Oryctolagus cuniculus: one gene and its partners. The protein of the gene in region 3 interacts with the protein of the main gene of each other region in a pairwise test. Links are inferred from orthologs where the notes say so. Each region holds a gene or a part of one and is shown on either strand. Other genes may lie near its edges.

The links.
Region 1: the proteins of UBE2U (region 3) and TRIM32 interact in binary tests that used the Homo sapiens proteins (3 or more experiments, as listed by UniProt). The link is inferred for Oryctolagus cuniculus from reciprocal best matches to the Homo sapiens genes UBE2U and TRIM32.
Region 2: the proteins of UBE2U (region 3) and RNF144B interact in a two-hybrid assay, tested with the Homo sapiens proteins (2 studies listed by BioGRID and IntAct). The link is inferred for Oryctolagus cuniculus from reciprocal best matches to the Homo sapiens genes UBE2U and RNF144B.

The regions. Positions count from the first base shown.
Region 1 is NC_091432.1:220,211,998-220,216,109, reverse strand, and holds the end of TRIM32 (E3 ubiquitin-protein ligase TRIM32), read right to left. Parts: intron 3,764-4,112; 5' UTR 3,683-3,763; coding exon 1,721-3,682; 3' UTR 697-1,720; downstream 1-696. UniProt on the Homo sapiens protein: E3 ubiquitin ligase that plays a role in various biological processes including neural stem cell differentiation, innate immunity, inflammatory resonse and autophagy.
Region 2 is NC_091436.1:145,652,346-145,656,461, reverse strand, and holds part of RNF144B (E3 ubiquitin-protein ligase RNF144B), read right to left. Parts: intron 3,100-4,116; coding exon 2,955-3,099; intron 1-2,954.
Region 3 is NC_091438.1:108,530,327-108,534,442, forward strand, and holds part of UBE2U (ubiquitin-conjugating enzyme E2 U), read right to left. Parts: coding exon 4,056-4,116; intron 1,289-4,055; coding exon 1,168-1,288; intron 1-1,167. UniProt on the Homo sapiens protein: Catalyzes the covalent attachment of ubiquitin to other proteins.

The sequences.
Region 1 (4,112 bases), on a different chromosome or scaffold from region 3:
ACAGCAAAGATTGAGGAAGCTCTTCACAAATTCTCTTATCCACTTCTGGTATTTTTTTTTTTGACAGGCAGAGTGGACAGTGAGAGAGAGAGACAGAGAGAAAGGTCTTCCTTTGCCGTTGGTTCACCCTCCAATGGCCGCTGTGGCCGGCGCGCTGCGGCCGGCGCACCGCGCTGATCCGATGGCAGGAGCCAGGTACTTCTCCTGGTCTCCCATGGGGTGCAGGGCCCAAGCACTTGGGCCATTCTCCACTGCACTCCCTGGCCACAGCAGAGAGCTGGCCTGGAAGAGGGGCAACCGGGACAGAATCCGGTGCCCCGACCGGGACTAGAACCCGGTGTGCTGGCGTCGCAAGGCGGAGGATTAGCCTAGTGAGCCGCGGCGCCGGTCCCCACTTCTGGTATTCTTAAAAGCACTTTCCTTTTATGACCTGTAATTATAAGAATAAAACATGATGGCAGCTCAATCTAGAACAGGTTTTGGTGACTCTAAACTTTGGGGGTTGATTCTGTACATATGTAGGAGAGACATCTGGATTATTTGTACATAATGGTACTTTGAATTGAATATGGACCTGGGTGGATCCTTATGCTGTGAAACAATGGAGTGTCAGAGAAGGAATAAAATGGCATCATTCAAGTTATCCCTCTCCTCACCTCCCATATCCCATATTTAATGAAAAGACATGAACACCACTTTTGAAGAAACAGTTATCAATGATTTAATGCTTGATAGAGGAACAGAAATCAATACTTAAATCAAATAGTATGCAGTCACTTGAGGAAAATACAGAATAACCACCAAACATTTCTATTGTTTTAGTAATGAAAATGAGATGTGTCCACCTCTCCAATGTGCTTTACAATTCTGCAGACAGTCTTAACACAGGTCACTGGAGAGAGGTAGATGAAAAATGATGTGCCCTAGAAACTATACAAGTTTGTTGGCTGTATCAGTATTTATATTTGTTTATTGCCATCTTTCTATGTCTTGGCTTTTTTCCAATCCATATGATCCTTTAGAAGGCAAGAAATGTCCATGCTGAAGTTTCAACAGTAACCAACTAGGGTTAATCCATTTTTTTGTTACACCTGCAATAAGAAACCAATCCAAGATGGCACAGTCCTCAGCCAAGAGGTATGGTATTATATCCCTTGGTGATACTAAATGAATGAGCTTTCACACTAAAGGTGATCTGACCTGAAGTATCATGCTACAGGGATATGATTTCTGAAATATCACTGAAAGGCAGAGCAGATTCCACTGAAGCATGCACACTGAATGCAACCAGAGTTGAAGACAAAGTGTCACGGATAAAGCACATTATTATAGGAAAGAAACAATGGACCAGGGACATCGAAGCCAAAAGGAGAAAAATCAACAGGGTTTCAATACAAGGGCACATTTCAAACACAGAGACAAGAAGTTAGAGTGGGTGTTTCTACTGAAGCCTTGGAAGTGCCTAATTTCTAATTAAACTTCAGCTAACACCATCATGTGTGCTATTTGGGACAATGCATTTATCAAAGCTTTAAATTTAGGCAGGAGTGGAATGGAAGGGAAGGAGGCTTAACAAATAAAAAACACTAAAATACTAAAATTCTAGGACTACCCAGTTGGAGACAAGACCTAGGCCAAGTCTACTTTATGGTGCCACCAACCAAGGTCTGAGGGAAGGGAAGTTGGCTGGGAAGCAGAAGAAATTGGTATTTCTTATACCCTAGGGGGTGGAATATCTTCTCAGATGATAGCTGTAGATCTTGATACAATGATCCCAACAATCCAAGACTAGCAGCTGTCCCTTAGGAGTGAGGGCAATGCCCACAGGACAGGTGAGTCCCTCTCGAATCAGGACACTAAAGCCCCCACCCTTAGGAAAATGGAGGATTTCCTTGCGACTACTGTCAGCCACGATGAGGTCACCACGAGCATCCACACACATGCCAGCAATGCAGCGGAAGTCCTCATTCTCTGAGAAGAAGTGGCTGATCTGGCGACCCAGCTGCCCATCAGGACCCACAGAGCCAATGGAGAAGCCACCCTCCAGGTGGTGCTCATTCTGCCGATTCTCCAGATTGAGGCCTAAGCCCTGGGTGAAGTAGACGGTGCCTTCAGCATCACAGGTGACAAACTTGGGCCGCACAGCACTGCAGAGGCAGCTGTATTTGACCACCCCTGCTCCTCGGTCAACAGTGAAACACCAAAGCTTTCCCCCTTCTACATCAGTTACCACAAACTGACCAGATGGCAGGGCTGTGATACCCCATGGTTTGCTCAGCTGGCTTCTATGACAGGCCACGCAGTGGCCATCCAAGGTATATACCTTGAGGGAGTTGTCATAGCTGTCAGTCACACCAATCAGCCCATGGCAGTTCATGGCCACTGAGAGAGGAGTGAGATTGGGCAAATCAGCCCCCAGGAAGCTTAGCACAAAGCCATCAATGCCACTGGGGCTGCGGCGGATCTCCTTCAAAAATCCTTTGCGAGTAAAGACTTGTATGCGGTAGTTACCACGGTCAGCAACCAGCACCTCCCCTTGACTGGTCACATACAGACTGACTGGAAGATTGAACATGCCTGGAGTGCTGCCTTTGGCCCCCATCTTCTTGAGAAATAGGCACTGCTGGATATTGGAAGTGGCCTCAGGACCTCGGTGTTTAGCAGGTGAGGCCCTAGGGCTGGCAGCTACTTCCTCAGGGCTCATGTCCATCTCTCTAAATGTAACAGAAGTAGAGGCAGCAGAAGCTGCAGCCTCCATGGCCCAGGAATCTTCCATGTTAACTGTTCGGGGCTTTTTAACTGCCTGCCCAATTTGGAGGGGGCCGACATGACCTACCTTAAGGAGCTCCACATCTTGTAGGGTGAGCTCCCGGGGCAAGCTGGCAGTGAGCTCTGGCTCTTCCTCATCAGCTGTCTCCTCCAGGAGGGCCACATCTGCCTGCTTGATCTTGGCCAGGAAGTAGTCACAGCGAGACACCGCCTGGACCTCTGCAATGTTAAGCAGGTAACTCTGTTCCTCAACAACCTGAGTATTGGACTTCTCAACTTCAGCCAAAGAGCCTGTGAAAAACTTCCGAGAACGGGCCAGCTCATCCTGGACCCTGCGCTCCTCATGCCCGTACTCCTGAAGAACTGCTTTGTATCTTGCTTGAAGGTCCTTGGACACGCCTTCTAAGGCTACTTTCCGCCGCTGCAGCTCTTCCATGAGCTCCCTCAGACGGGTTAACTTCTCTCCAAAGTCTCGACGCCGCTCCTCAGCTGCCTCTTTGACAGGAAGTGTACTGTGGCCAGGAGGTTGGTGGTCTGCTTCCCGGCAGGGCTCACACAACACCAAGCCACAGCTCCGGCAGAACTGCCGGGGCAGCCGCCGCCCACAAGCGCGGCACATAAGCAGCCCTACAGCCTCACTGAGTCCAGCTGTGTCGATGATCTTCAGCACAGTCAGGTTGTCTGTGAGCTGGGTCAGGCTGGTTATGCGGGTAATCTTGCTGCAAAAGGGACAGCGGACACCATTGATGCTACTGGCCAGGAGCTTCTCCAGGCACTGGCGGCAGATGGTATGACCACAGTGCAGGAGCTTAGGTCGCAGCTGCTCTTCCGTGAAGGACTCCATACAAATGGGGCATTCCAGCACTTCCCGGAGAGCATCCAGGTTCAAGTGAGACGCTGCTGCTGCGGCCATCACTCTTCCTTTGAAGGGTACTGGTAGCACAGCACAGGACTGAGTAGCTCAGTATTCATGCCCCAGAGAGTAAAATTCCTGCTAAAGAGACAAAAAAAACCATTATTCATTTTCTACTGCCTATATAAGTTAATTCACTCAAGAAACATTTAGATGAGAGCTATGAACATTCATTCAGTTATCTAACAAAAACTGAGATACTATGTGTAAGGTGATAGTGACACAAAGGGAAACAAAACAAAGTTTTGCTTAGTGGATAAGTGACACAAAGGAAATCCAAAGTATTGCTTAGAGAATAAGAGCTCTAGAGCCTCATTTACTTTTGTTGCATAACCTTAAGGAAATAACCTAAACTTCCTAAAATGTAGTTTCTCCAACACTTATCTGTAAAATAGAAATAATGAGGTCTTCATTTATTATGTATAAGTAA
Region 2 (4,116 bases), on a different chromosome or scaffold from region 3:
GGAGAAAAATAGAGGGGCAGGGAGGAGAAGATGTAGGCTGGAGAAAAGCTTGCTCATTTTATTCACTGACTTGTTTTAAATGAGAGAACAGAAATAGAAGTCACAGGTGAGACAAGATCATTGGCAGGGACAAGTGTGTGAGGCTACAAGTGGGAACAGGAGTCCAAAGAAGATTAGCAATACCCTGTCCATGGCCGGCGCCGCGGCTCACTAGGCTAATCCTCCGCCCAGCGGCGCTGGCACACCGGGTTCTAGTCCCGGTCGGGGCGCCGGATTCTGTCCCGGTTGCCCCTCTTCCAGGCCAGCCCTCTGCTGTGGCCAGGGAGTGCAGTGGAGGATGGCCCAGGTGCTTGGGCCCCGCACCCCATGGGAGACCAGGAAAAGCACCTGGCTCCTGGCTCCTGCCATCGGATCAGTGCGGTGTGCCGGCCACAGCGCGCCAGCCGCGGCGGCCATTGGAAGGTGAACCAACGGCAAAGGAAGACCTTTCTCTCTGTCTCTCTCTCTCACTGTCCACTCTGCCTGTCAAAAAAAAAAAAAAAAAAAAAAAAAAAAAAGCAATACCCTGTCCTGGCAGGGCTGAGCATCAAGGCAGGAACAAACTCAATACCCCAGCAACACTCAGAATCTTGGTATCTATCACAGAGTTGGATTTTAGACCACCATCCCTCTCCTGGCCCTGTGCTCTCCACATCCCTAAAAACAGAGATCAGTGCCACTCTGTGACATAGAACATTTGTCTACAGAACAAGATCATTACCAGCAAGTCAGTAGCCCTGGAGAAAACAGACAGAATGGGATCTCATTAGACAGTGAGGAGAGAAAGATGCTGCAGTGTTTGAAATCTGTGTCTCCAGCCACTGAACATCTGCACCACTTCATTTGGAGAACCAGAGCAGCACAGCAAGAGAACAGCGTGTTCTCAGCTAGCACTGGCCTCCAAACGTATTTCAGCTAAGGGATGTAGATCTGCTGCACACATTTAGTCTTATATTCTTGCCTTCTAAGGAGAACCTCATGGGTTCGGCCTCCATGTGGATATGAATCCAATTAACACTCTGGTTAAATAAATCTGAAGGAAAACAACAAAGATTTCTTTTTTTCATAATGCACGTATGCCATACACTCTGAAATCCTTATCCATAATATTGCTGATTTAGAATTATAATAGGCCTCAAATATCAAATATAACTATTACACAAGAGGCTATGATAAATCCAAAACAAAAATTTAAAGGAAAATATTTCCTTCAATGTGAGCTGCTGTACTTCTAGCATGCAAAATGACCATCTTCTTCTCCCCACTTGGTATTTCTTCTTGAAAGACTATCATCAAAATTCTTAACTTTTATTTGCTGTTTTATGCATTTGAAAGAAAGAGAGAGAGAGAGAATTTCCCATCCATTGGTTCACTCTCCAAATGCCAGCAACAGATGGGTTTGGGCTAGGCTGAAGCCAGGAGCTGGGAACTCAGTCCAGGTCTCCCACTTGGGTGGCAAGGACTCAAGCACTTGAGCCATCACCTGCTGCCTTCCAGGGTGCACATTAGCAGGCAGCTGGAATTAGGAGCAGATCTAGGAGTTGAATCCAGGTGCCACAATATAGGATGCAGGTGTCCCGGGTAGATCTTAACCGCTACACCAAACATCTCCTCCTGATTAAAATTCTTATTCTAATAATGTACTATATACTGTATAACAAAGTGGAAGAAAGGAGCTCCAATCACAAAGAAAAAAATAAGAAATGGGGATGCTAATGGCCCAATCTGATCAATTTATGCTGATATCTATGTTGAAATATTGCACTATACCCCATAAAATATTCAAGTATTAACATGTCAATCAAAAATCTTAAAAAGTAAAAAACGTTTTACAAAGATTCTTATTCATAGATATCACCCTAAACCTCCATCATGAAGAGTAAAAGAGGGAACAATAATTTGGCTAACTCCCTTGATTTTCTAAGGGAATATTGACCAAACAGTAGCAGTACTGTGTCATGCCAGTAAATGAGATTTAGTTAAGAAACACTACTGATGTGAACAGGTGTTTTCCTTAAATTATAAAAGAGGAAAACAACCTAACTGTGGGAGGCAGACCAATCCCCATGCCTAAGAACTAGTCCCCAGAACCTGAAAACTGGTTACCTTACATTAGCAAAAGACATTTTGAAAGTGTGAAGATAAATTAAAGGCCTTGAGATGGGGAAGACTAAGCTATACTATCTAAATGGTGCCATCTCATTATAAGGGTGTTCAAAGGCAGAGACTCAGAAAAAGTGTCAGCGAGATACAATGCTGTTGGCACTGAGATGGAGGAAGGAGCCACAGCCAAGAAGGGTGGGCAGCCTAGAAAAGATGGAAAAGGCAAGGAAACAGATTCTCCCCAGGGCCTCCACAAACAAATGCAGTCCTGCCCAACAGCGTGGGACTCCTGTCAGACTTGCCGTGCACAGAACTGTAGGGTAACAGATCTGTGTTGAGCCGTGGAGTTCGTGATAATTTGTTACAATAGCAATAGAAAACTAATCCACTAATATTCCTTTACATAAAGGTATTGGGCAATACCCCCCTTGCCTTTAAAGCCAAGGTGATATACTTAAGCTAATTAAAAAGAGTGTGTGTAAAAACCTAAAGTAGTAGAAGAAAGGAACTCCAAGCCCCTAGTCATAAAGTACCTTCAAAGAAGGAGAAATGTTGATTACCCTGATTGGATCAGTACACACTGTATTCCTGTATTGAAATATCACACAGTAGTCCCTAAGTACCTACAATTCTTAATAAAATAATTAAAACCAATCAAATAGCAGACTCACAAGGTCTGGCAAAGAAAAAAAATCCTTTTGCAGGACACAAATAAGCTGATCACTTTAAAAGGAAAACCTGTGGGATAGCGGCTGTGGTGCAGATGCAGTCAAGGAAAGCTAGGTGCGAAACCCCTTACAGGTGGAACTTACGTCCAGGTTCTGGAGACAATACCAGCAGAATGTGTGCTTGCAGTTCTTGCACATCATCTGAGCACAGCCTTCGTTGCGTTCGATATAAACCCGGCAGACTGGGCATTGCTTAATGGGGGCTTCCGCATCTGTCCCAAAGAGGGCTCTAGAAACAACACGGGTGAGAAATTGCATGCAATTGACAATCATCAGCTGAATCCCCAGGGCTTCTGATAGTAACGAATGCACCCTCAGTTATCAATGCTTACGTCACTTCCAAAGCAAGGGTTGAGGGTAAAAATAGGGAAGACGTAGATTACTAGCTGTCCAGATAACTCAAAGCAGGAAAGAAAATGTATTTATTCTGGCTGTGAGAAAAATTACATCATTATACTTTCCACAGTTGATTTAACTCATTCTATTGCCAAATTAATATTTCATTTCCCAAGCATACATTGTCTGGATAAGAAGTGCAAGGAGTCAGCTCCACAGCAGGGATACAAGCTTACGATCCAAATTGGGCATAGATCATGAATCTAATGATCTGCTCATTAAACAAGTGGGAGAATGGTCTTAGTAAGCAATACTATAAAATAAATGTCCAATATTGTTGAAAAGACCTGCAAGTGAGCAGCCAGTACAGACTCACCCCAAAAGGGACATAAGAAAACAAAAAGGTAGCATACATTGAGATGGGGTCAAGGGACAGGGGAGCCACAGCACTGGATTACACATTAGCCACTGTTTATCAAAACCCCCACCCAGCACACAGCAACACTTGGTTCTCAAAGTATCAAATCCATGATTGGACTTCATACAGACACTAACCCTAAATAGTGGTGGGACAGGTACTATTCCAATGCTTTTTCTTCCATGGGGAAACAGTTTCACAGGCACTGAATGACTTGTATGAGGAGACCCAGACACCAAGTGACAATGTCAGAACTCAACTCTTCCTTCCCTGTGAGTTCTTCATATTGCCCTGCGACACCCAGGTTGCTGACTGTTGTAGCAGTAAAAATGTCAAAAGCGCTGGTTTGAGCCTGGCTAAGGCCTGCTATGTGTATTGGATCTTTTTTTCCTTTTGTTTGGCAAGAGATTCAAGCACAGTGTCTAAGCCAGGTAGCATTACTATTTCTAGAGACTGCTCTGCACACTCTAAGAGCACAAAGTGATTGAGCCA
Region 3 (4,116 bases):
CTTAGGTTTCACCAACGTAACTAAGAGCACGTAGTGAAAGCTGCCCGAGTACTGTTCGCTGTGTGGCTCTTTCCTGTGTGCTGTGGCAATCTGGGCAGCTTTTATGTTAGGTGTGACGACACAGGGGGAGAACGGAAAGGAGTGTTGGGTGATGCCTGCCAAAGAAAGGACGACAAAGAAAGGACATCGTTTTCTTATCACTTTCCTTCTGCAGGGAAAAACTGAAAACGTATTGCACAGAATTATTTCTTGCAGGAAATTATTTTTTTTGGGGGGGGGAAGGAGTAGTTTGTTTCTTTTTTTTTTTTTTTCCCAAAGAAACCTTTTATTTTCCCAAAGAAACCCTCCCACCCACACTCCCACCCCTCCACACACTCCCTCTCCCATTCCCAGTCCCATTCTCCACTAAGATCCATTTTCAATCAATCTCATATATAGAAGACCGACTCTATGCAAAGAGTTCTACAATTTGCATGATGAAAAAAAAATCGAAAAATGTTCCTCAACAGTTGAGACAAGTGCTGTTCCAAGTCATGGCATCTGGAAGTTAATTTCTCTTCTTTCCTTCTCCTCCTCCTCTTCCTCCTCTTCTTTCTCCTCCTTCTCCCCTCCCCCTCCTTCTCCTTCACCTTCTTTTTTTTTTTTTTTTTTAGAAACTTAATTAACTTTAAAAAAGCACCCAAGAAAGATAGAAAATTCCTTAAAATAAGTTTTTGGGGCCAGCATTGTGGCTCAGTGGGTTAAGTGCCCCCTGCAACACTAGTATCCCATGTCAGAGTGTCGATTCGAGTCCCAGCTACTCAGCTTCTAACCCAGCTCCTGAAGAATGTGGCTGGAAAGGCAGCAGATGATGGCCCAAGTACTTGAGTTAAACTCGGATGTGACATCTTTCTGATGGGTAGACTCGTTTCAACTGGCACCAACCATCCACACCATCAGAGCATTGAAAGATAATAAGCTTAAGGTCTTTGTTGATCTTTTGAAAGAGATTGGTTTGACAAAGAGTTATAGTAGAAGGGATCTTTGTACCATTTTTAACTGAAAATGGATACAGAAAATATTTAAATATTCCATTATATAATGATTATTTTCTAGATTACTTATTTGCTATACAAATTTAATGCATAATCGATGGTTACCACATAACAGTAAGTAGGCATTTCTTACATTCGCATGACTTGTGGAAAAGTCTTTGAAGTAGTGTTCTGTATACAGATTCATTTTCAATCAGCATTTGGGCTGCTTCCAAATTCACTGGCTGTTCTAGCCCTGGATTAGACAGCATAACCTATAGGAAAACATAGACAACATAACATTTTAGAGCAGAAAGACAAGCCGATAATACAACTTTCAATAAGTACTTATTAAATACCTACTATGCACAGACCTGTGAATAGACATAAAGGTAACGTGAGACACAGTCTTTACACTTAAGAAGCTTCCGATCTGTCTTGGTTTTATACTGCACACTCACAAGCTAAACACTGGTGTCAGAGCAAGTTAACAGTCCTTCCTGTCACATTCCTTCCTGTCATACACATTCGAACTGGGTTTTTATGGAAAAGGAACTAAACATTAGGAAACACTGAAACATTTCCATTACACGGGCTTAAGAAATAAAGCTTTACGTTTTAACATGATACCACATTAGAACATGGATGAACAAGCACAGGTACTGAGGTTGCACACACTTGATTAATTTATTATCTGTAGTTGTCTTCTCCTGCTGCTAAATGTAATTACAGTGAATGTAGCTGCTCATTTCTAGGCACAACTCAGGACAATTTGAAGGTCAGCTGCTGAGTAAATATAATTTCATCTGCAAGTCCTTTCACAGTAATACATGGCAGACATCTTTAAAATCTTGTGTGTCTGCATCTCACGAATGACCAGAAGTAACTACAACTTCACAAGACCATGACTTATATCTCCCCAAATTGAAAATATTTATTGCAATTTAGTAATATAGACATTGTATCTTACAACATGCAAATTATATGATAAGATATGCTAAACCGTGCAATATACAAGTGTAGATGCTGGTCAAAGTGGACAGTTGTGGCTTGGAAGTTACAGGAATGATGGCAATCTCTCAATCATGAAAGTAACCATCTGACATTTGATATCTCAAAATCAACAAGAATTTGCTGCTGTAACTTGAGTTTTCCTATTTTGGAAACACATTGGGGCTATATGTCCAAGAATGGAATACTTGCTTCAAGAAGGGTTCAGTGTGGATTTCACTATACCTTTCAGAGTGGGTGGGGGTAGAGGAGACTTACCTTCTATACAGGCTTTTGGTCTTTGGCTGTACAGATATAATTTTACTAAGGGAAGCTTATCTGGTAAAGTTTACTCAATAATCTTCTCATTAACCACTGTGCCTATGATCTATTTATGTAATATATATACAAGCTGTTAAGTATATTTTATGATTTTTAAAGAATTGGAATATAAAGTCATATTAAAAATTAATAAATCAGACATCTGCTAAATAATAAAAATAGAAAGCTCAACTTTTAAAATAACCATGTGGTAGAATGAAATAACATAAAAAGCTTTCCAAGGGATAAATACAAAATATGGAGCTCCAGTAAACAGTGGCACCAGCAGATAACATTTTGTAAGATAAAATTAGTTAATGCCCATGGATCTGGAATCTATTCTAGGGGTGGGTGTTGATATTCACCTTTACCTTTGAAGAGATCCAGAAGATGAACCCCAGATATCTACCTGCCTCGCTCGCTTCTTTGACATTTTTACTCAGATTTCTCTTAGGACACAGCCCCATGCAGGTGGATGCTCTAAACACTTTCAGAAGGAGTTAATGAATGAACTGAATACTGAATTTTTTTTTTTTTTTTTTGACAGGCAGAGTGGACAGTGAGAGAGAGAGACAGAGAAAGGTCTTCCTTTGCCGTTGGTTCACCCTCCAATGGCCGCCACGGCTGGCGCGCTGCGGCCAGTGCACCACGCTGATCCGATGGCAGGAGCCAGGAGCCAGGTGCTTTTCCTGGTCTCCCATGGGGTACAGGGCCCAAGCACTTGGGCCATCCTCCACTGCACTCCCTGGCCACAGCAGAGGGCTGGCCTGGAAGAGGGGCAACCGGGACAGAATCCGGCGCCCCGACCGGGACTAGAACCCAATGTGCCGGCGCCACAAGGCGGAGGATTAGCCCAGTGAGCCGCGGCGCCGGCCGAATACTGAATTTTTAAAAAGGATTTACATTTTACTCAGTATACTAAGCTGACCTTCCAGAAAATAAACTATTATTTTATTTATTTTTAAAACTACAAAACGAGAAATGGAATTTATGTAGTAATTCTATGTTGAGAAAATTTCAATTAAGCCAGAATATTTCATTCTCCAAGTGTTCTTGATAATAAAAATTTAATATTATATTTCCATTTGTTACTAATGATAAGTTGGTTGGCTGAAATACTTTGTTTTAGCATTGGATAAGAAAGGAGGGTTTTACAGGGTCAGGAATAACAAAACACTGAGCATGTTACTAAGTACCACGGGCCCAGAGGGGATGGAGGTAGTAGTTGGGAAACAGGCATCTATCTGAGGAGAGAAAATCTCTGGTTTAATTGTTCACTCGGTTTGATGTGAACATGTAAGAGAAAGTAGCCAACACTGTCAGAAACAAAGGATAAAGCAAAACATTCTCAGCTGTAATCATTTGATTCACTTCTTTGAGGACGGCAAGGTTCAGGAATGAGCAAAGACCTAAAAGGCCTGCTCAATATCAGGAAGTGAAGTCAGGAGCAAAAAGAAAATCTAAGGCTGTATTTCTAGAATTGAAACATCCTAATAAGACTGTTCTTCTTCATGAAATATGTATTCAGTTGTAAAGGGCCTTAGCTACTCACTTCATTTTAAAATAATAGTTTTTATAATTTAAATTCCAGTTTAGAAACTTAACATAGAAATGTTGATTTAGATAAACTTGCTCAAGTCCTTTAAAAGACTTTGTATTTTCATCTTTATGTTTTGTATGATTGCGATATTAATAGTATTAAAGGGAGCATTGCATTAACTCCATTCTTACCTGTAGAGTGAGTAAGATGCTGCTCAACGTGTAGCTTGTATTCCACTTCTCAGGGTTGTCC